Linked DNA regions of Anolis sagrei. The protein of the gene in region 2 purifies or fractionates together with the protein of the main gene of each other region. This does not show direct contact. Links are inferred from orthologs where the notes say so. Each region holds a gene or a part of one and is shown on either strand. Other genes may lie near its edges.

What was found.
Region 1: the proteins of FXR1 (region 2) and CEP63 purify together in Homo sapiens (co-immunoprecipitation; 3 studies listed by BioGRID and IntAct, with this or other methods). This does not show direct contact. The link is inferred for Anolis sagrei from reciprocal best matches to the Homo sapiens genes FXR1 and CEP63.
Region 3: the proteins of FXR1 (region 2) and TDRD3 purify together in Homo sapiens (affinity purification with mass spectrometry; 3 studies listed by BioGRID and IntAct, with this or other methods). This does not show direct contact. The link is inferred for Anolis sagrei from reciprocal best matches to the Homo sapiens genes FXR1 and TDRD3.

Annotation. Positions count from the first base shown.
Region 1 is NC_090023.1:225,698,486-225,706,294, forward strand, and holds the start of CEP63 (centrosomal protein of 63 kDa), read right to left. Parts: upstream 3,006-7,809; 5' UTR 2,918-3,005; intron 2,904-2,917; exon of another isoform or gene 2,611-2,903; intron 1-2,610. Other genes in the region: ANAPC13 (anaphase-promoting complex subunit 13), read left to right, coding at 6,589-6,687, 7,232-7,357. UniProt on the Homo sapiens protein: Required for normal spindle assembly.
Region 2 is NC_090023.1:258,304,531-258,312,288, forward strand, and holds the start of FXR1 (RNA-binding protein FXR1), read left to right. Parts: upstream 1-4,683; 5' UTR 4,684-4,978; coding exon 4,979-5,029; intron 5,030-7,758. UniProt on the Homo sapiens protein: mRNA-binding protein that acts as a regulator of mRNAs translation and/or stability, and which is required for various processes, such as neurogenesis, muscle development and spermatogenesis.
Region 3 is NC_090023.1:136,662,836-136,669,791, forward strand, and holds the start of TDRD3 (tudor domain-containing protein 3), read right to left. Parts: upstream 3,006-6,956; 5' UTR 2,856-3,005; coding exon 2,815-2,855; intron 1-2,814. UniProt on the Homo sapiens protein: Scaffolding protein that specifically recognizes and binds dimethylarginine-containing proteins. Plays a role in the regulation of translation of target mRNAs by binding Arg/Gly-rich motifs (GAR) in dimethylarginine-containing proteins.

The DNA of each region.
Region 1 (7,809 bases), about 33 Mb from region 2:
TAAGTAGCTCACATTTACGGTACAGCATATTAAAAACCAACAAACATTTTATTTACAAAGCACATGGAAATAAAAAAGATTCACTTGTCAGTTTGGTTTTCATTTCCCTTTTGTGTAGCTCTCAACATCTATCCGCCTCCAAAAAAAACCTCTTCAAAGCCACTGCATCCAAAGTTGGTTGGGCAATTAAAAAACCCCACTACTGTTTTTGGGGATCTCTAGAAGTGGCAGCTTTGTATTAATACCACCACACTATCGCAACAAACCCAGCACTGATTTCACATTACAATTCTCAGACCAAAATCAAGACTCCTGCCCATACTGACCAACCTGATCTAAGTCTTGATCATTTCATAACATGGATAGGTGCAGAAAAAATACATTTAAAAACCCACTGCACTGATTTCAATGGTAACATAAATGATCTGGGTCCTCCATGAATTAAGAAGTAGATATATGTAATATCATACCAGTGTTTATGTCAATATTCACACATTAACAGACAAATCATAGATTAATTACTATGATTCTGCATCCAATTCAAATACAGGCAGTCCCCGAGTTACAAACATCCGACTTACTAATGACTCATAGTTAAGGATGGGGGAGAGACAAGAGGAAATGAGAGAAATGTACCCCTTGGATTGGAAATTCACTCCTGAAAGAGTTATCATGGGGAAAAGGGCTCTCCACTGTTTTCACAACAAGCCAATTTTTTTTTAAAATCCAATTATCACAAAAAGTTTGGGGAGAACTGGATTGGGTATTCAATAATGCACTGAGTTGTGCATCATTGTATTCCGCAGACTGCAGCTTTTACTGTTGCCTACTGAATTTGCCCATTCCTCAATGGTGAGTTTTTCTCAACCTGTACAGTGCTCCTACTCTTAAGTGAATGTCATTTCCTGAATTCAAATCAATGTCATAAATAAATACACAACAGGTAGGTTTCAGATTAAATAAATAAGTGCTACTTAGCCCCAATTACTAATACAATGCATCACATCTACTTATTATTCCTTAATATCACCACAAAGTTCCTCCTATCTTTATACAGTTAGACCTTGAACACATAAAATACGCTGTACAAATCAATTCACAGTACATGAAGACATGTGCATGCTTCTGAAGAAATTATATAATATTATATTTTCATATGGACTAAATACAAAGTTAAGTCTACATTGCAATCACTAAATGTCTTTATTTGAAAAGTCGAATTGGCTTTTCTCCATATCTGGAGAGAACTGCAGAATAGTTTGATTCTAAGCATTTGTATTCAACTGTAGGTTTGTTTTATTTCAAAACCGACATATCATCAGGTAAGAATCCCTTCTCTGGAACTGGAATTCTGAAATACTCCAAAACCAAAACCTATTCACATGGGTGGCTGAGATACTGTGGCCTTTTGCCTTCTGGTGGTTTAATATACAAAGTTTGTTCTATTAAAAAAATTACTAAAAATACTGTACATAAAATCACCTTTGGGCCATGTGAATAAGGTGTGTACGAAATGTAAATTAATTTTATGTTTAGATTTGGGTTCCACCTGAAAGATGCCCCATTATGTGTATGCAAGTATCCTAAAATTCCAAACACTTCTGGGCCCAAGTACTTCAGATACGGGATATTCAACCCGTAGTACACAATCTGTTATTGCTCAAGCAGAGGGGGCCTGGTTAGTACTTCCTGAGAACTCATCAGCTTTTCGGGAATCCATAAATTCATTCCACATTGTCAAATCCTATCCATTCCAGTCATTGTTGTCCTTTGTCTATCTGCCAGATCACCCAAAGGCCTGGTCCCACGTCCATGTTTTTAGCTTCCTTCTAAAGGAGAGGAGGGATGTCGATGACCTAATTTCCCCAGGAAGTGAATTCCACTGGTGAGGGGCCACCACCGAGAAGGCCCTGCTCCTCGTCCCCACCAATCTCATTTGTGATAGAGGTGGAGCCGAGAGCAGGGCCTCCCCAGAAGATCTCAAACTTCAAAGCGGGACGTAGAAGGAGATGCATTCAGACAGATACGCTGGGCCGGAACCGTATAGGGTTTTGTAGGTCAAAACCAGCACTTTGAGTTATGTATTGTCGAAGGCTTTCATGGCTGGAATCACTCAGTTCTTGTGGGTTTTTTCGGGCTATATGGCCATGTTCTAGAGGCATTTCTCCTGACGTTTCGCCTGCATCTATGGCAAGCATCCTCAGAGGTGAGGTCTTTGAGTTATGCTCGGAACTGGATTGGCAGCCAGTGGAGCTGACATAACAGAGGGGTGGTATGCTCCCTGTATGACGCTCTGGGGAGTAATCTGTCTGCCGCCCACTGGACTAGTTGAAGTTTCCGAACAATATTCAAAGGCCACCCCACGTAGAGTGTGTTGCAGTAATCTATTCGGGATGTAACAAGAGCGTAGACCACTGTGGCCAGATCTGACTTCCCAAGTTTAGTGAGGCATCATCACTCTGTGGCAGATAAGGCCAAATACCTTGTCAAACTACAACTCCCAAGATTACACAGCATTGAGCCAGGCAGTTTAAAGTGGTATCCAACAGTATTAATTTGTCAGTGTGGTTGCATTTGTGTAACTAAACAACTGAATAAATGCAGACTTACCAAATTCCCACTGGTATATTTTGGGTTGCGGTTAACAATATGGATTTAGGCCTGGAAATAACCCTCTCTCCCCCTCCCTTTTGAAATAAGTTCAAAGTTGTCCTTGTGGTCAGTGAGATGAAAGACTGGAGCTCCCATTAGGAAGAGAGGAGGAGCTCATTGTGGGGCAATGGCTCCCTTTTTCATAGAGAGGGAAAGACGCAGGAGAGAGACACTCCAGAGCGAGGGAATGAAGATTCAAATTTCTCAGGAGGAGAGAGAGAGAGAGAGAGAGAGAAAAAAGAGTCTCTCAACACAAGTGCCTCACTTCCGTTCACGCTCTGGCAGACACCGGAAGCTGCAACCGACTCCTTCATCCGTTACGTGCGGTCTAAGAAGCCCCGTTGATAGTGTTTGGGGGCGGACTTGGAGCCCCGCCCCTTCGCCGCCGCTTCTGTCTCTCTGTGGTTACCGCCGCCTAGAGTGGCCGCCTGTGACGTCACGTCCTCTGTTCCTGAGGTTGAGAGGCCAGTGGTGTTGAGGCGCTTCAGGTGAGAGGGTGGGAAGTGCTTGCTCCACAAGTTACCTTTTCCTTCCTTTGAAAAATCCATAGGCAGGCAAGTGGCCACAAGTATCCACATAGGGAAGTCAGGATGCATTTACACAAGGCATGGGGAAACTTGGGCCCTCCAGGTGTTTTGGACTTCAACTCCCACAATTCCTAACAGCCTCAGGCCCCTTCCTTCGCTTAAGCTTCTGAGGGGGGAAAGGAAAGGGCCTGAGGCTGTTAGGAATTGTGGGAGTTGAAGTCCAAAACACCTGGAGGGCCCAAGTTTCCCTATGCCTTGTGTAAATGCAGCTTGACATCAATTAACTGTAATAGTTAAGTGCTCAGATGTACCAGTCCTATGTTTTCTATTTCTAATCATGCTACCCATGCTCTATTCTGCCTTGGTTAGACTACACCTGGAATAGTGTGTCCAATTCTGGGCACCACAATTCAAGAGAGATCTTGACAAGCTGGAATGTGTCCAGAGGAGGGCGACTAAAATGATCAAGGGTCTGGAGAACAAGCCCTATGAGGAGCAGCTTAAAGAGCTGGGCTTCTTTAGCCTGAAGACGAAAAGTCTGAGAGGAGACATGAAAGCCATGTATAAATACGTGAGAGGAAGTCATAGAGAGGAGGGAGAAAGCTTGTTTTCTGCTGCTCTGGAGACTAGGATGCGGAACAATGACTTCAAACTACAAGAAAGGAGATTCCATCTGAACATTAGGAAGAACTTCCTGACTGTGAGAGCCGTTCAGCAATGGAACTCTCTGCCCCGGAGTGTGGTGGAGGCTCCTTTAGAAGCTTTTAAACAGAGGCTGGATGACCAGTGAGATGAAACACAGTAGTTTATTGTAGATATGTAGATATTGACAAGCTGGAATGTGTCCAGAGGAGGGCGACTAAAATGATCAAGGGTCTGGAGAACAAGTCCTATGAGGAGTGGCTTAAAGAGCTGGGCATCTTTAGCCTGAAGACGAAAAGTCTGAGAGGAGACATGATAGCCATGTATAAATACGTGTGAGGAAGTCATAGGGAGAAGGGAGCAAGCTTGTTTTCTGCTGCTCTGGAGACTAGGACATGGAATTATGGCTTAAAACTACAAGAAAGGAGATTCCATCTGAACATCTCCAGCTCATCCCTTGTTTGGGTATCAGCCAGCACGTCAACGACTTAAATCAAGACATAGTTTTCTAAGATCTACAGACACTCGCTGGAACACCTCAGCAAGCGAGAGTCCAAAAGTGGCAGGCTCAAACCCAGAACCTCAATCAATGGCTGATACCAAATGAGAGACTCCCCCCTGGGCACACAGAAAACTGGGCGACTTGGTAGGCGCTGAACAGACTGTGTTCTGGCACCACAAGATGCAGAGTCAATCTTAAGAAATGGGGCTACAAAGTGGAATCCACGACATGCGAGTGTGGAGAAGAGTAAACCACAGACCACCTGCTGCAATGCAACCTGAGCCCCGCCACATGCACAATGGAGGACCTCCTTGCAGCAACACCAGAGGCAGTCCAAGTGGCCAGCTACTGGTCAAAGGACATTTAATCAGCTACCAAGCTTGCAAACTTTGTTTTGTCTGTTTGTTAAAAGTTTGTTAAAAATGTAATACAATTGTTTGGTTGATACTGACACGATAAATAAATAAGTAAATAAATCTGAACATTAGGAAGAACTTCCTGACTGTGAGAGCCATTCAGCAGTGGAACTCTCTGCCCCGGAGTCTGGTGGAGGCCCCTTCTTTGGAAGCTTTTAAACAGAGGTTGGATGACCAGTCGGGGGTGCTTTGAATGTAATATTCCTACTTCTTGGCAAGGGGGTTGCACTGGATGGCCCACGAGGTCTCTTCCAACTCTATGATTCTATGATTCTATTCCTTATGAGCCACCCTGTAAGGCTACTACTCAGTGGAATTATCTTATTGGTATCATTCTCGTAATAAATAGGGAGGGATCTGCGGGAATCAAAAATCTGTATTCACAAAAAGTTTTTGATACTGCCACCAAAGACCCTAAGTAAACTTACCACATATGGAACAACGGGGCAGACATCTTTATAGATGGTAACTCGTCGAAAAAATGGAAAGCATATAAAAATGGAGATGAAAGATAGTGTTGGTATTTCCCAGGAATCTATAATAAGCTTTTTCCATGTATGTTTCATTTACATAACCATGAGTTCCTATGAAGGAATGTATTTAGGAGAATCATAGAGTTGGAAAGACCGCATGGACCACCTAGTCTAAACTCTTGCCATGCAGGAAAAGCACAATCAAAATACCCCCAACAGATGACCATTCAGCCTCTGTTTAAGAGCCTCCAATGAAGAAGCTTCCACTACACTCCGAGGCAGAGAGTTCCACTGCTGAACAGCTCTTAACAGTCAGGAAATTCTTTTTAATGTTTATGTAAAATAACCTCTACTGTAATTTGAACCCACAGCTCCAAGTCCTATTCTCCAGGGCAGCAGAAAACAATCCTGCTCCCTCTTCCTTATAGCATCTTTTCAAATATTTAAATATGGTGATCATGTCTTCTCTCAGTCTTCACTTCTACATGAAGCCGCTGGAGGAGATAATTCAGAGTACAATGTTCTCCGAGCTCAATACAAAGTGCTGGTTTTGACCTATAAAGCCCTATACGGTTCTGGCCCAGCTTACTTGTCCGAACACATCTCCCTCTACGTCCCGCCTCTCAGTTTAAGATCATCCGGGGAGGCCCTGCTCTTGCTCCCGCCAACGTCACAAATATGTCTGGAGGGAACAAGAGACAGGGCCTTCTCGGCTGTGGCCCCCTATCAATGGAACTCGCTTCCCACTGAGGTAAGATCTGCTCCATCCCTCCTGTCATTTAGGAAGAAATGGAAGTTGTGGTTCTGGGACCAGGCTTTTGGACAACAGGCATAGATAGCACTTTGGACATGGAATTGGATATGGAATTGACTGGAACGATGTTACGGCTATTAATACTGTTTTTTACTGTTTTAATGAATGTTTTACTTATTGTTTTAATTGTTATTCTATTGCTGTGTTATATGTAGTGGCATTGAATTGCTGCCAGATGTAAGCTGTCCTGAGTTCCCCTTTGCGGGTTGAGAAGGAATGGGATAGAAATACCGGAAATAAATAAATAAATAAATTCACTTCTGAAGGCCCAGTTCATGGTCTCCAGACTTGATCATTTTAGTCACCCTCCTCTGGACACATTCCAGAAAGATAAACGACTAGTAAAACATTTATTTTTATTTTGTATCAAAAGCATTGCATAAATTAGTATAAAACTGATAAAAATAGGAGCACAAGAAGCTAAATATGTTTTGACCAAAAAAGGACAACAACAACAACAACGGCATTGTCTGTAGCCTCCAACACTTCTTCCTCTGTACATGAGGCAGTAAAACATCAATGCTATGCACCACAAATCTTATTCATTCTCTTTAAAGCAAAGATGGACAGTGAGGTACAGAGGGATGGGAGGATCCTAGATTTGATTGACGATGCATGGAGAGAAGATAAATTACCGTATGAAGATGTGGCAATCCCATTGGTAAGTAAATATTCCAGGTATGACTCTGAATTGATATTCCCCATCCTTTTTATTTACAACCATATATTTTACCATTCGTCCAAACCGCTCCCAGTGCTTATTGCAACAATAAGTTCTAATATTGTAAACCACCGTATTTCCCATGCTGTGAGAAAGGTGACATCGAAATTTCAAAGATAAATAATCTTTAAAAAAACTAAAAAACCTTAATAAATTAACCAAAACAAAACCGTAGTGGCAGTGCAGATGAATGAACGTGTGGATAGTTCATAAGTAGAGCCTAGATCTATTTCAGTTTCATTCCCAGATCGGCGCATTTTACTTCTCACTACATCTCATAAGAAATGCATAGTGGCTTTCAAGATTACTGTGTGTGTACATATAGAACTTTTGTCAGCAAGCCACTGCAGATGAATTCTAAGAATGTTTACTCAAAAGATTTTCTTTGTTTGTGATTATTTTGTTCTATGTGTTCCTATGTTCATCAGTGCAAAGATGTTTTTCTCAGCATTTTAAAACAGTTTTAATATATTTCTGCACCCAGAATGAGCTTCCTGAACCAGAGCAAGACAATGGTGGAACAACAGAATCAGTAAAAGAACAAGAAATGAAATGGTCTGACTTGGCTTTGCAATATCTTCATGAGAATATTCCTCCAACAGGAAACTAGTCTATTGTCAATGTCTCGTGCAGCAATTTCTCTGCAAATGTATTTCTTATTGTTCTTTTCAGCCTTCTTTGCTATGGAAGGAAGGTGTATGTGGAAAATGTCTAGGCTTAAATCACAAGAAATTATTGTCATAGGTCCTTTGCTACTGACGCAATTCCTATCAATGCTTAAAGGATATCACAATTGGCACACACTAAAAACGCTCCAGGTATCCATTTTTAATAATATATATTACTATTATGCTCTTTGCTATGAACCACAAAGCTGAAGTCTGATCACAGGAATATTAAACAATGACCAAACTAGGTGGTAGTTGTCAGCTCAGTTTGGCATTTGAATTTCATTTTTAATTTATTTTTGTGTGAATAGGTAAAACTTGCCAAGTGAAACTGTTTTCCTTTTGTTGGAGGTAAAATACTCCAAAAATTAAATCTTAAACTTCCTATCCCAGA
Region 2 (7,758 bases):
GTCTGAAGGTGGTGCTGTTGAACGCCAGATCTGTCAACGGAAAAACGACCTGGATCCAGGACTTAATCCTGGACGAACGGGCAGATCTGGCGTGCATCACGGAGACCTGGTTGGATGAAGCTGGAGGAGTAAATCTGACCCAGCTTTGTCCTCCGGGTTTCTCCGTGCAGCACCAACCTAGATCCGGAGGGCGGGGAGGCGGGGTCGCAGTGGTCTATAGGGACTCCATCCATCTGACCAGGTGCCCCATCCCGCAGACCGCAAATTTCGAAAGCGTCTACCTGAGGGTGGGTGACCGGGACAGTATAGGGATTCTAGTAGTGTACCGTCCACCTCGCTGCACTACAGTCTCCCTACCTGAGCTAGCGGGGGTGGTCTCGAGCCTGGCATTGAAGTCTCAACGGCTTCTTGTGCTGGGAGACTTCAACGTCCATGCCGAGACAACCCTCACAGGCGCAGCTCAGGACTTCATGTCTGCCATGGCAACCATGGGGCTGTCCCAACAAATATCTGGCCCCACCCACTGTGCTGGACACACATTGGATTTGGTTTTCTGTCAGGGATGGGAACAGGGTGGCGGTGTGGAGGAGTTGTCCATCTCTCCGTTGCCATGGACCGACCACTTCCTGATCAGATTTAGGCTCACTGCGCCCCCTAACCTCTGCAAAGGTGGAGGACCCATTAAGATGGTCCGCCCCAGGAGACTGATGGATCCGAATGGCTTCCTGACGGCTCTTGGGGATTTTCCCGCCACCTCGGTAGGTGACCATGTCGAAGCCTTGGTGGCTCTCTGGAATGGGGAGATGACCAGGGCTATTGACATGATTGCTCCGGAACGTCCCCTCTCAAGTAGCCGAGCTAAACCAGCCCCTTGGTTTACTGAGGAGCTGGCAGCTATGAAGCGAAGGAAGAGGGAACTAGAGAGCGTGTGGCGTTCGGAACCGAGCGAGTCAAACCGAGCACGGTTTGTGTCCTCTCTTAGGGCATATGCCGCGGCAATAAAGACCGCAAAGAAAACTTTCTTTGCGGCCACTATTGCGTCTGCAAAGAACCGTCCGGCGGAGCTGTTTCGGATTGTCAGAGGTCTTTTAACTCCCGCCTCTGCAGGTGGGAGCCCTGACAATTCGGTCGCGCGCTGTGAAGCATTTGCTCGGTTCTTCGCAGACAAAGTCGCCTTGATCCGTTCTGGGCTGGACGCCGCGTTAGATGCAGACTCTGTGGATGTAACGAGAGCACCTGCTTGTCCTATTTTGTTGGATTCTTTTCAGTTTGTGAAACCCGAGGATGTGGACAAGATACTTGGAGGAATGAGGCCCACCACGTCCATCCTAGACCCCTGCCCATCCTGGCTTCTGAGAGAGGCCAGAGGGGGATTGGCCGAGTGGGTAACAGTGGTGGTGAATGCCTCCCTTCGGGAAGGCAAGATTCCAGCGAGCCTAAAACAGGCTATTATAAAGCCGCTGTTGAAGAAGCCATCACTGGACCCCACTAAATTGGACAACTTTCGGCCTGTTTCCAATCTCCCCTTTTTGGGCAAAGTCATGGAAAGCGTGGTGGCCTCACAACTCCAGGTATTCTTGAGAGACACGGATTATCTGGATCCGGCACAGTCTGGTTTCAGACCGGGGCATGGTACCGAGACGGTCTTGGTCGCCTTAGTGGATGATCTGCGCCGGGAGCTAGACAGGGGGAGTGTGTCCCTGTTGGTGCTCCTGGACCTCTCAGCGGCCTTCGATACCGTCGACCACGGTATCCTTCTGGGGCGCCTTGCGGAAATGGGTCTTGGAGGCATTGCTTTGCGGTGGCTCCGGTCATTTCTGGAGGGTCGCACCCAGAAGGTGTCATTGGGGGACTCCTGTTCCGCACCACAACCTTTGACTTGTGGGGTGCCACAGGGTTCCATACTGTCCCCCATGCTATTTAACATCTACATGAAGCCGCTGGGTGAGATCATCCGGAGTTTCGGGGTGCGGTGTCATCTGTACGCAGATGATGTCCAACTCTGTCACTCCTTCCCACCTGCTACTAAGGAGGCCGTCGAGGTCCTGAACCGGTGCCTGGCCGCTGTAACGGTCTGGATGAGGGCGAACAAACTGAAACTAAATCCAGACAAGACAGAGGTACTCCTGGTCAGTCGCAAGGCCGAACGGGATATAGGGTTACAGCCTGTGCTGGACGGGGTCGCACTCCCCTTGAAGGCGCAGGTTCGCAGCTTGGGTGTGACCCTGGACTCATCGTTGAGCCTGGATCCCCAGGTTTCAGCGGTGACCAGGGGAGCATTTGCACAGCTTAGGCTTGTGCGCCAGCTGCGCCCGTATCTCGGGAAGTCTGACTTGGCCACGGTGGTACACGCTCTTGTCACATCCCGCCTGGATTACTGCAACGCTCTCTACGTGGGGCTGCCCTTGAAGACGGCCCGGAAGCTTCAGCTGGTCCAGCGTGCGGCAGCCATGTTACTAACTGGAGCGGGTAGCAGGGAGCACACAACGCCCTTGTTGTCCCAGCTTCACTGGCTGCCGATTTGCTACCGGACCCAATTCAAGGTGCTGGTCTTGGCCTACAAAGCCCTAAACGGTTCCGGCCCAAAATACCTTTCTGACCGCATCTTGGCCTACGAGCCCACGAGGACCTTGAGATCGTCTGGGGAGGCCCTTCTCTCGATCCCGCCTGCATCACAGGCACGGCTGGCGGGGACGAGGGAGAGGGCCTTCTCGGTGGTGGCCCCCCGGCTGTGGAACACTCTCCCGGCACACATCAGACAGGCGCCCTCCCTCATGTCCTTTCGAAAAAGCCTTAAGACCTGGCTGTTCGAGAGGGCATTTAATTAAGTGCTAAGCAACAACATTACGGTAATGAGAACTGGAATGGTATAAGGAAAATGAGACTGGCTATGATTCTATTAAGAGACGAAGCGGATTTTTATGTAGTTTGTATTTGTTGTATAGTCATATGTTGTTGATACTGGCCTCTGTAACTGTCTTTTTATGTGTACTGTACACCGCCATGAGTCGCCCGTAAGGGCTGAGAATGGCGGTCAATAAGTGCATCTAATAAATAAATAAATAAATAATAAATGTCTCTACTCTTTACTATTTTATCGAGATTGGACATTGCTCTCCTCCCAAGAAGTAAGCGTCTTCTGATTTCCTGGCCACAGTCTGCATCTGCAGTCATCTTTGCACCTAGAAATACAAAGTCTGTCACGGCCTCCACATTTTCTCCCTCTATTTCCCAGTTGTCAATCATTCTTGTTGCCATGATCTTGGTTTTTTTGATGTTTAGCTGCAACCCAGCTTTTGCGCTTTCTTCTTTCACCTTGATTAAAAGGCTCCTCAGCTCCTCCTCGCTTTCGGCCATCAGAGTGGTGTCATCTGCATATCTGAAGTTGTTAATGTTTCTTCCAGCAATTTTCACCCCAGATTTGCATTCATCAAGCCCCGCACATCGCATGATGTGTTCTGCATACAAGTTAAAAAGGTTGGGTGAGAGGATGCAGCCTTGCCGTACGCTTTTCCCAATCTTGAACCAGTCTGTTGTTCCGTGGTCCGTTCTTACTGTTGCTACTTGGTCCTTGTACAGATTCCTCAGGAGAGAGGCAAGGTGGCTTGGGATGCCCATCCCACCAAGAACAATTTATTATGATCCACACAGTTAAAGGCTTTAGAATAGTCAATGAAACAGAAATAGATGTTTTTTCTGAAACTCCCTTTCTCTTTTTTGGCTGATATCCAAACAGGCGATGAACTGATGTCTCTGCCTTGGTCCTTTCACTATTGGCTGCCACTTCCCGGTGGAAGTGCACTTGACAGATGCAACTATCTTTCGGGTTGCAAAGGTCGACAACAAGCTACACAACTGGTCGGAAGCTCACTCCGACCCGGGCTGGCTTTGAACTCGTGACCTTTTGATCAGAATGTTTTTTTGTGAGTGACGGTCACTCGTTGGCCTGAGAGGTGTCCACATTTGGTGTCAATTCGTCCAGTGGTTTTTGAGTTATGTTAATCCCACAAATGGAGCCCCCGGTGGCGCAGTGGGTTAAAGCACTGAGCTGCTGAGCTTGTTGAGCGAAAGGTCGCAGGTTCGATTCCGGGGAGCGGCGTGAGCTTCCGCTGTCAGCCCTAGCTTCTGCCAACCTAGCAGTTCGAAAACATGCAAATGTGAGTAGATCAATAGGTACCGCTCCGGCGGGAAGATAACGGCGCTCCATGCAGTCATGCCGGCCACATGACCTTGGAGGTGTCTACGGACAGCGCTGGCTCTTCGGCTTAGAAATGGAGATGAGCACCACACCCCAGAGTCAGACATGACTGGACTTAATGTCAGGGGACTACCTACCTACCTTTAATCCCACAAATAATAGTAAGTATTTTTATATTATTAATATATCAGTATTAGTAATATATTGTTAGGAGTATTAGTGTACTAATAGGAGACTAATAGGAGACTCTGTGGAGACTAATAGGAAACTGTGGAGACTAATAGGAAACACACCCACCCCGCCTTCGCCCTCTGAGGCGAATGAAGAAGCAAAGGAAGGAAGGGAAGAAAGAAAGAAGCGCGGAGAGCTTTGCCGTTGGGCGCGCGCGCAGGAGCGAGGCAGGGCGCATGCGCACAGCGGAAGGATTCGAAGGTCGGTGTAGGACGACACACACACGCACAGAGAAAAAAAGAAGATCCCTCCGCGCCTGTGACCCGCCGCCAGAGACTGAGGCAGGCGGAGGTGGGAGAAGAAGAAGAAGAAGCCCCGCCCCCTCGCTTGCGCCGCTCCTCCTCCTCCTCTTCCCCCCTCCCTCCTCCTCCTCCTCCTCCTCCTCCCCCCAGCCGGGTGTGAGGAGGGGGCACCCCGAGGGTTGCTTGGCCTTCCTTCTCTCCTTCCTTCCTCCCTTCCCCCCTCCCCTCCCGCTCCTCCCTCCTCCCCCTCCCCCTCAGGTGGGGATCGCTTCGAGAAGCCCGTCCCAGCGTCCTTTGCGGCCCCAACATGGAGGAGCTGGCGGTGGAAGTGCGCGGCTCCAACGGGGCCTTCTACAAGGTAAGGCCTCGCTCGCCCGCCCGCCCTCAACCCTCATGGGGAGCTACAACAGGCATGGGCAGGCTCGGGCCCTCCCTCAGCGGGTTTGGGACTCCAACTCCCACCATTCCTAACAGATTCAGGCCCCTTCCTTTTCCCCTTCAGCCGCTTAAGCGGCTGAGGGGGAAAAGGAAGGGGCCTGAGGCTGTTAGGAATGGTGGGAGTTGGAGTCCAAACCCCCTTGAGGGAGGGCCCGAACCTGCCCATGCCTCTATAAGTTTGGGGCTTTGTTTGTGTTGGTAGAAAACCCCTTTTCATCAATACATTGTATCCCCCCTAAAAAAAATAACATTAAGCCAGGTAAGGCGTGTATGTCCCTCTCTCAATGTCTATGTTTAGATACATAATAATAATAAACTTTATTGTGTTGGTAGTAATAAAAATAATAATAAACTTTATTGTGTTGGTAGAAAAGCCCACTTCATCAATACATTGTATCTCCCCTAAAAAACAACAACATTAAGCCAGGTAAGGCGTGTATGTCCCTCTCTCAATGTCTATATTTAGATACATAATAATAATAATAATAATAATAATAATAATAAACTTTATTGTGTTGGTAGAAAAGCCCACTTTATCAATACATTGTATCCCCCCCTAAGAAAAACAACATTAAGCCAGGTAAGGCGTGTATGTCCCTCTCTCAATGTCTATATTTAGATACATAATAATAATAAACTTTATTTGTACCCTGCCACCATCTCCTCAATGGGGACTCGGAGCGGCTTACATGGGGCTTAACCCGAACAAGAATTAAAATATAACAATACTGCTTTGATTTGGATGGAAAATAGGAGAAAGGCAAGTCAGAAGTATGTGCATCAATAGGAGCATAGTGTCTAGATCTAGGGAAGTCATGCTACCCCTCTATTCCGCTTTGGTTAGACCACACCTGGAATATTGTGTCCAATTCTGGGCACCACAATTCAAGAGAGATAGGGACAAGCTGGAAGGTGTCCAGAGGAGGGCGACTAAAATGGTCAAGGGTCTGGAGAACAAGCCCCATGAGGAGTGGCTTAAGGAGCTGGGCATGCTTAGCTCAAATGAGAGGAGATATGATAGCCATGTATAAATATGTGAGAGGGAGCAAGCTTGTTTTCTGCTTCCTTGGAGACTAGGACGCGGAACTATGACTTCAAACTACAAGAGAGGAGATTCCATCTGAACATGAGGAAGAACTTCCTGATTGTGAGAGCCGTTCAGCAGTGGAACTCTCTACCCTGGAGTGTGGTGGAGGTTCCTTCTTTTTAAACAGAGGCTGGATGGCCATCTGTAAGGGGTGATTTGAATGCAATATTCCTGCTTCTTGGCAGGGGGGTTGGACTGGATGGCCCATGAGCCTCTTCCAACTCTTTGATTCTATGATTCTATGAATACAAATTGCAATAAAATAAACAACATAACATTAAAATAAAACATCAAAGCATATAAAACAATATACACAGAACATAGGGACTAAACATAAGATACATAAGGAGAGGAAGGAAGTAATATACACAATAGAAATTATTATAAAAAACAAAGAGGGAAAACAAGTTTTGGGCTGTGTTTGAGGAGTTTGTGAATATATTATATTCCCCACAATATTAAGTCAGGCAATCCCTCTATATCTATATGTATCTATATAAATAAAAATGTAATGTACGTGTGTGGGATTAATATAACTCAAAAAGCACTGGGCAAACTGACACTAAATTTGGACACAATACATCTATCAGGCCAATGAGTGGCCATCACTCATAAAAACACTGAACCCTCTATCTATATAAATGTAATGTATGTTTGTGGAATTAATATAACTCAAAAAGCACTGGACGAACTGACACCAAATTTGGACTCAATGAGTGGCCATTACTCATAAAACACTGAACCCTCTATATATCTATATAAATAAAAATGTAATGTATGTTTGTGAAATTCACATAACTCAAAAAGCACTGGGCAAACTGACACCAAATTTGGATACAATACATCTATCGGGCCAATGAGTGTCCATCACTCATTAAAACACTGAACCCTCTATATATCTATATAAATAAAAATGTAATGTATGTTTGTGGGATTAATATAACGCAAAATGCACTGGACAAACTGACACCAAATTTGGACACAATACATCTGTCAGGCCAATTAGTGGCCATCACTCATAAAAACACTGAAAAACACAGTGGAAGAGAATTTAAAAAGCCAAAATAATAATAATTAAAAAAAATACATTACAACGCATGCACAAAAACACATATATACATAAACACACATTATATACATATACACAAATATATATAAACATATATGCATATATATATACACACACACACACACAACATATATACAGAAGGGGGAGGACAGAAGGAAATAAAGTGATAGAAGAAAGGAAAGAAAGAGAGAAGGAAGGAGAGAAGGGATGAAAGACAGAAAGAGGGAAGGAAGGAAGAAAAGAGAGAAGGATGGAACTCGAGAGCAAAGGAAGGGAGGAAAGAAAAATGTAGAGAAGGAAGAAAGAAGAAGGGAAAGAAAAAGAGGGAAGGAAGTAAAGAGAGAGTGAAGAAAGGAGAGAAAGAGGGAGGGAAGGTTGGCCACAGCAATGCGTGGTGGGTACAGCTAGTAAACAATAAAAATTACTATAAAAAAGAGGGAAAATACGTTTATGGGCTGTGTTTGAAGAGTTTGTGAACATATTGTATTCCACA
Region 3 (6,956 bases), about 120 Mb from region 2:
CATCTGCATACGTTAGTTGAAGACATTATGCTCTCCCTTCCCTTACCCTGTTGTGCCCAAAATTTAGGTTGCAAATTCCTTAAGAGACAGGCATGTCTGTGTTCCCGTTGCATTGTCAACAGAAAGTCACATATACTGGTATTGCTATGTAAATGTATATTTTGGTTAGACAGTCTGCTTCAGGAATCAAACAAAAGATTCTGGCACTACAATGTGAGGGCCTCATCACAATTAAATTCCTTGTGCAATAGTACAATGGGCCCTTCCAGACAGGACCTATATCTCAGGATCTGATGCCAGGTTTTCTGCTTTAAACTGGATTATATGACTCCACACTGCCAAATAATCTGGGATAAACGGAAAAACTTGGATCAGATCCTGGGATACAGAGCCTGTCTGGAAGGGCCCAATAACAATAAAGCTATTTTATATGCAAATCTAACTATCCTAAAATCCAAAACACTTCAGTTTTATGTTTTATATTCTTTTTTTATTTGTTTTTATCTTGATATATTTTACTATGCTCTTATTTTAATTGTGGTTTTGCTTTAATGGATTGCTTTTCTTTTGTTTTGTAGGCATTTTTAGCCATATGTAAGCTGTCCTGAGTCCCTTTGGGGAGATGGTGGTGCGGTATAAGAATAGAGTTGTTATTATTATTGTTCCCAAGGGTTTTGGAGAAGGGATACTCAGGACCTTATAACACTTGAGCGTTTTTATATGCTGTGACTGCCTCCTGCAGAATTCTGGGATTTGTAGTTTAGAGAGGGGCCTTTAAACTGCTCAGCCAAAGAAGCCCTGGGTCGCCCTAAACTACAAGCTCCAGAGTTCTGCAGGAGGCAGAAACTGGATTTAAAGTGGACTAAAGTGGGGGAAATGCTCAAGTGTAGTGAGACGCTGAGTATCCCTTCTCAAAAACTCTTGGTAACAGAATAATAACAACAACAACAGCAACAACATTATTTATATAACGGGACGGCTTACAACAGAAGAACACAATATACAGTAGTGTCTTGCTTATCCAACCTTTGCTGATTCAATGTTCTGTATTATCCAACACCGTCTGCCTCCCGCCCAGATCCACAACTGTTTCAATACATTGCAATGTTTTGGTGCTAAATTTGTAAATACAGTAATTACTACATAACATTACCGTGTATTGAATTGCTTTTTCTGTCCATTTGTTGTAAAACAAGATGTTTTGATGCTTAATTTGTAAAATCATTCTGCCAACCCGTTTATGTTGGATAACCAAGACCATACTGTAGCTAATAATAAACATAAAACCAAATCAAACATTAAACTCACACAATAATAAATATTAATAAAATTCAGAAGGTTGTCACTGATAGGCAAAAATATGTAACAGTTAAAACATGTGCTGAAATTAAAAGGATTACAAAACAAAACAAAAAGGGATTACAGAAGCGTTTTAGAATTTAGGATATATATCTTTGCATATATTTATTTTATTTATGACATTTACATGCTGCCCTTCTCACTCCAAAAGAGACTCAGAGTGGCTTACAAGTTATATGTACATACAATATATTATTAGAATAGTACAATATTAATATTATATATTACTGTATTGTACTATATCACTATACTGTAATATTGTTAGTAATACTAGCCATCCCCTGCTACGCGTTACTGTGGCCCAGTCTATGTATATGTAATCTGTGTGTGTATATGTGTGTGTGTATATATTTGTGTATATGTGGTTTTGTGCATGCATTGTAATGTGTTTTTTTATTTTATTTATTTATTGGCTTATTAAGTCCCTTCTGCTGTGTTTTTCAGTGCTTTTATGAGTTTTTATTTTTTGTCAGGAGCGACTTGAGACACTGCAAGTCGCTTCTGGTGTGAGAGAATTGGCCGTCTGCAAGGACGTTGCCCAGGGGACGCCCGGATGATATGTTTATCATCCTTGTTGGAGGCTTCTCTCATGTCCCTGCATGAGGAACTGGAGCTGATAGAGGGAGCTCACCCGCCTCTCCCCAGATTCGAACCTGCAACCTGTCGGTCTTCAGTCCTGCCGGTACAGGGGTTTAACCCACTGCGTCACCGGGAGCTTTTATGAGCGATGGTCACTCATTGGGTTGTTCGGTGTATTGTAGATATGTGTGCTTGTGTATATATGTGGTTTTGCGCATGCGTTGTAATGCATTTTCTGTGTTTTGGTTTTTTAATTCTCTTCTGCTGTGTGTTTCAGTGCTTTTATGAGTGATGGTCACTCATTGGGTTGTTAGAGGTGTATTGTCTCCAAATTTGGTGTCAATTCGTCCAGTGGTTTTTGAGTTATGTTAATCCCATAAACGAACATTACATTTTTATTTATATAGATGAAACACAAAATTATTATATTGTATTATTATTGGTATATAGAATAGAATAGCTTTATTGTCATTGTACTATTGCACCACGAGATTAAACATCCCGCGATATTTTGGAGAGGAGGCCGAAGTCTACACGCGAAAGCCATAGATGTTCCCCATACACACAAGTGTAATTGTATACACGGCTGTAAAATAATGCTGTCATTGTAACGAGGCCTGTGGCGTTGGGAACCCCAAGTGTCACTATCTCAGTGCAGAGGGGAGTGTAAATTTCCCAACTTTAGGACAACCACCACAGTTGTGATGCAGGCGAGAGGGCCAAGGCCAAGGGAAGGGTGGTTTGAGGGCCTCTGCTGAGCGAGCCAAGGCTGCTCCGTCTACAAAGGGAGACGGCCATGTATACAAAAGGGCGCCGAGAGGGAGAACGCAAAGCAACCCCCTCCCTCCTCTCCTCTGCGGCGCTTCCCTCCCTCACCAGCCGGACTCGGCGAGGGTCGAGGCGGCGCCGTCAGCCATGGTCCCTCCTCCTCTTCTTCTTCCTCTCCTCCTTTTCCTCCTTCACGAAGTTCTTTCCGCGGGGGAGAGGCCTTTCGGGGGAGGCCCAGGTGGCGCCCGGCGCAGAGGAGGCCTCGGCCTCGGCCCCGCCTCCGCCCCGACCACAGCGCCCCTTCCCTTCCCTTCCCTTCCCCGCCCCTCCCTTCCCCCGCCAAGCCGCCTCTCACACGCTACCGGAAGCCAGCTCGGCAAGAGCGCCCTCCCCACTTCCGCCATAGAGTTCCCCGGACTGTCGCGCTGGCGGCTAATTCGGCTGTTAGGAAAGGGCGGGGAAAGGCTTGCCCGCGTGGAACGTCTCTTGGCTGGCTGTGCGCATGCGCGGGGACCCTGCCTTTCGCGTTGTGTCCTCGCCTCAGAAAACGCAGGCGAAAGTAGGCTCCAGTCAGAAATCGCACTTTCTCTCCTGCATGGGCGTGCTAGTGGTCTCTTTCAAGGTTTATTTATTTTTTGTTATGGCCTTTCCACACAGCCATGGAACCCAGAATATCAAGGCAGAATAATCCACAATGTCTGCTTTGAACTGAAATATCTGAGGTCCCTTCCATACAGCTGAATACAATCCCACATTATCGGCTTTGCATTGGAATCTATGGCAATATGGACCACAAGGCCTTCCACCCAGCCATAGAACCCAGAATATCAGGACAGGAGATCCTACAGTATCTACTTTGAACTGGATTATCTGAGTCCACACTGCCATATATCCCAGTTCAAAGCAGATCGTGTGGGATCTTATGCTGCTGTTTGGAAAGGGCCCCAGACAGGCCCAATGTCCCAGGATACGGTCCCTAATTTTGTGTTTATCCCATATTATCTGTTATTGCTGCTGCTGGAGGAACATTTAGAGGCGTAGTGCTTCTCATTTAACTTTTCCTTGATTTAAGTCTACTGGAAGGAGGCTGATATCCATGCAGTGGGCGGCTTTCACAGTGTTCAACCTTATTTTTCTTGCAATTGGCAGCATTTTCCCATTGCACATGGCGGGCGGGGGGGGGGGGGGGGCAATGCCAGCTAGCTTATAGAATCTATCAACAAGTGTAGGTTTATGACAGCGGTACCTATTGATCTACTCACATTTGCATGTTTTCGAACTGCTAGGTTGGCAGAAGCTAGAGCTGACAGAGGAAGCTCACGCCGCTACCCAGAATCGAACCTGCGACCTTTCGATCAATAAGCTCAGCAGCTCAGTGCTTTAACCCACTGCGCCACCGGGGGCTCCAATTTTCCGTATAGTGCTATATTTATCTGCTTCACATGGGCAGATTTCATTTTGGCACTAAATCAATATGTTTAACAATGGAATGAATGGCGGCAAACATATTGAAGGTTAATTCAGGCAAAATAGAGGTGTTACCAAAAGATGAATCAGGTTATGCCCAGAAATAGTCCATAGCTTGAGCATACTTCTGGATTCAGTCATGAGCCCAAAAACTCACATTCAGCAGTGGACAGGAGTGCCTTCACACAGTTAAAATTACTGTGCTAGCTCCAGCAAAGGGTCACCTCCTTGTCGTGGCGCTGGAGCTTGAGCACCTCAATGATGTCATGAGCGAAACCGTGAAGTGCCTTGGACTGCGAGAATATCCAACCAGTCCATCCTCCAGGAAATAAAGCCTGGCTGCTCATTGGAGGGAAGGATACTAGAGACAAAGTTGAAGTACTTTGGCCACATCATGAGGAGACAGCAAAGCCTAGAGAAGACAATTATGCTGGGGAAAGTGGAAGGTAAAAGGAAGAGGGGCTGACCAAGGGCAAGATGGATGGATGGCATCCTTGAAGTGACTGGACTGACCTTGAAGAAGCTGGGGGTGGTGACGGCCGACAGGGAGCTCTGGCGTGGGCTGGTCCATGAGGTCACAAAGAGTCGGAAACAACTGAACGAATGAACAACAAGCTGCACTTATTTGTTGAGATGTCAAATCTAGCCACTAGTCCCAGTTACACCTGTTTGGATTGCCAGTATGAGCTCTGTGCGGACCTGCTTTTGGATGCTACTCAGAAGTTTCCAAAGTGCTTTTGTCAGGTTGGTGTTGGTTATGTATGACCAATATCTTCTTATGGCCCCTTATTATGGGATTCCTTTGTTTCTTTACCTGCCTACTCACTGTCCCACTATGCCTGATGAGTGCCAGAGAACCAAAAGTCTTGCATACTTTATGTCATTCCAGTTATTACCTAACTGTAGGTGTTACTTGCTTATTTTTTCAATTAATAATATCTATTTGTATTGCCAAGTTCACTATTTTCACAAATCCTACTTTGACTGAAGATATTATTTGACTTTTCCCTTACTTTAAAAGCATGAGTTTTTGCTTTGCTGTTGCAGTAAAGCAAGAAAAGTGTTTTTTTTTACAGTGAAGCAGCAGCCACATAGAAGAAATTTTAACTTGACATCTATTGCTTTACTCTAAATCAGATTAATGTTTTCAATTGAGTCTTTCAATAATGAACAAACAGATTTACATAACCATATAATAAGCATAAAATGAGAACATCACCAGAGCATTTCCAGTATGCTAATAAGCAAGGCCTCCAAGAGAAAATTTGCAAGGCAGAACTAGACTGCTTTCCTGTCACAAAGTGGCAGAGACTCCTCTCAAAATAGAGGATCTTATGGACCTTACATACTAAATGAATTCTGTTCAATAAAAAAAATAATGGCATAACATGATGTTTTAAAATTAAAACTTTCCTACTTTGTAGAAAAGTATGGTTATGATAAAATATAAACAATGCAGACAGCCTTTGGCATATGATTATGAAAGCATAATCGAACATGATGATTAATGTCAGGCTATTCAATATGACCACTGGTAAACTTTTGTAAATTCTTTACTCCCGCTGTATCAAAATGACCACATAACAATATATTAAATACCAAGCAACGACAAGTCTAATCAGCTAATAAAATGGGCTTTTCCAGCTTATTTTATCAACCAAATTTCAAAAATTTCTGATAATTAAAAAAAATTCCTGGCAATGCTTGATTTATTTTTCCCACATAGGAAAACAGGATTCCATGTTTGAACCTTTGTAAAAAAAAATGCAATAGAAGGAGAACTGTAAGTTATTGCTGCTTTTTAAAGGAAAGGAGGCATGAAATATTCATGGGTTCTTCCTTGTCTCCCTTGGCCTCAGACTAATGTAGCATCAGATCTCCTTCATATAGCCATACAGATAGGTAATTTGATTTCCTGTTTACAAGTCACTAAGACATTCATGCAGATTTTATGTAATCAAAATCTATTAAAGGATCTTATGTATCCAGAAGAATCCTAACATATATGTGAAGTCGCTTTCTGGAGGAAATGTTCCTCTACTAACAGTTAAGAAACACAGAGTTTTATTCATAGCTTTATACAATTATTGCTTTAAAATGTTTTAAAATTAACATCTACAGGCAGCTGGATGATACCAGATCAAACCATTAGTCCATAACATCCAATATTGTCTATTTTTACTGGAAGCACTTTTCAGGTTCTCAGGCAAAGGGCTTTTACTTCTCTTTCAATAGAAGTCAGAGTTTGAAGTTGGGACTTGCACAATAGAAACAATATACTTCTACAACTGAGACTTACATGTTTCTTTTCCTCCCTTGTTTACATTGGTTTTATTAAATATTCCAAAACAAATATTGGTTTTCAAAATGCCCTTCTCATTGACCCGATCTATATTTTTTACATTAGCCAGTAGCAATTATTACTTTAATGATCACCATTGTTATATATATATATTCCAAAAACTAAGAGTAAAATGCAAATTTATCATGGGTTTGAAACTTTGGACCTCCATATGTCTTGGAGTACTGATTGAATAAACGCTTAAACATTATCTGTCATAGGCATGCCTAATGGAAGTTGCAGTTAAAAATTGCTTGGGAATCTGTTCCCCTCCCTTATAGAAGTCCATACAAGTGCCAAGGAGAGTTTTATACCAAATATGATTAAAGGATTTCCACATTTACCCTAATATTTTTTTCACTGGCATCAAGGATTTTAAGATGTTTCCACTGGGAAAGTTTTAACATTGCTTTCATTCAGAAAATCAGAACTCACCCATGGG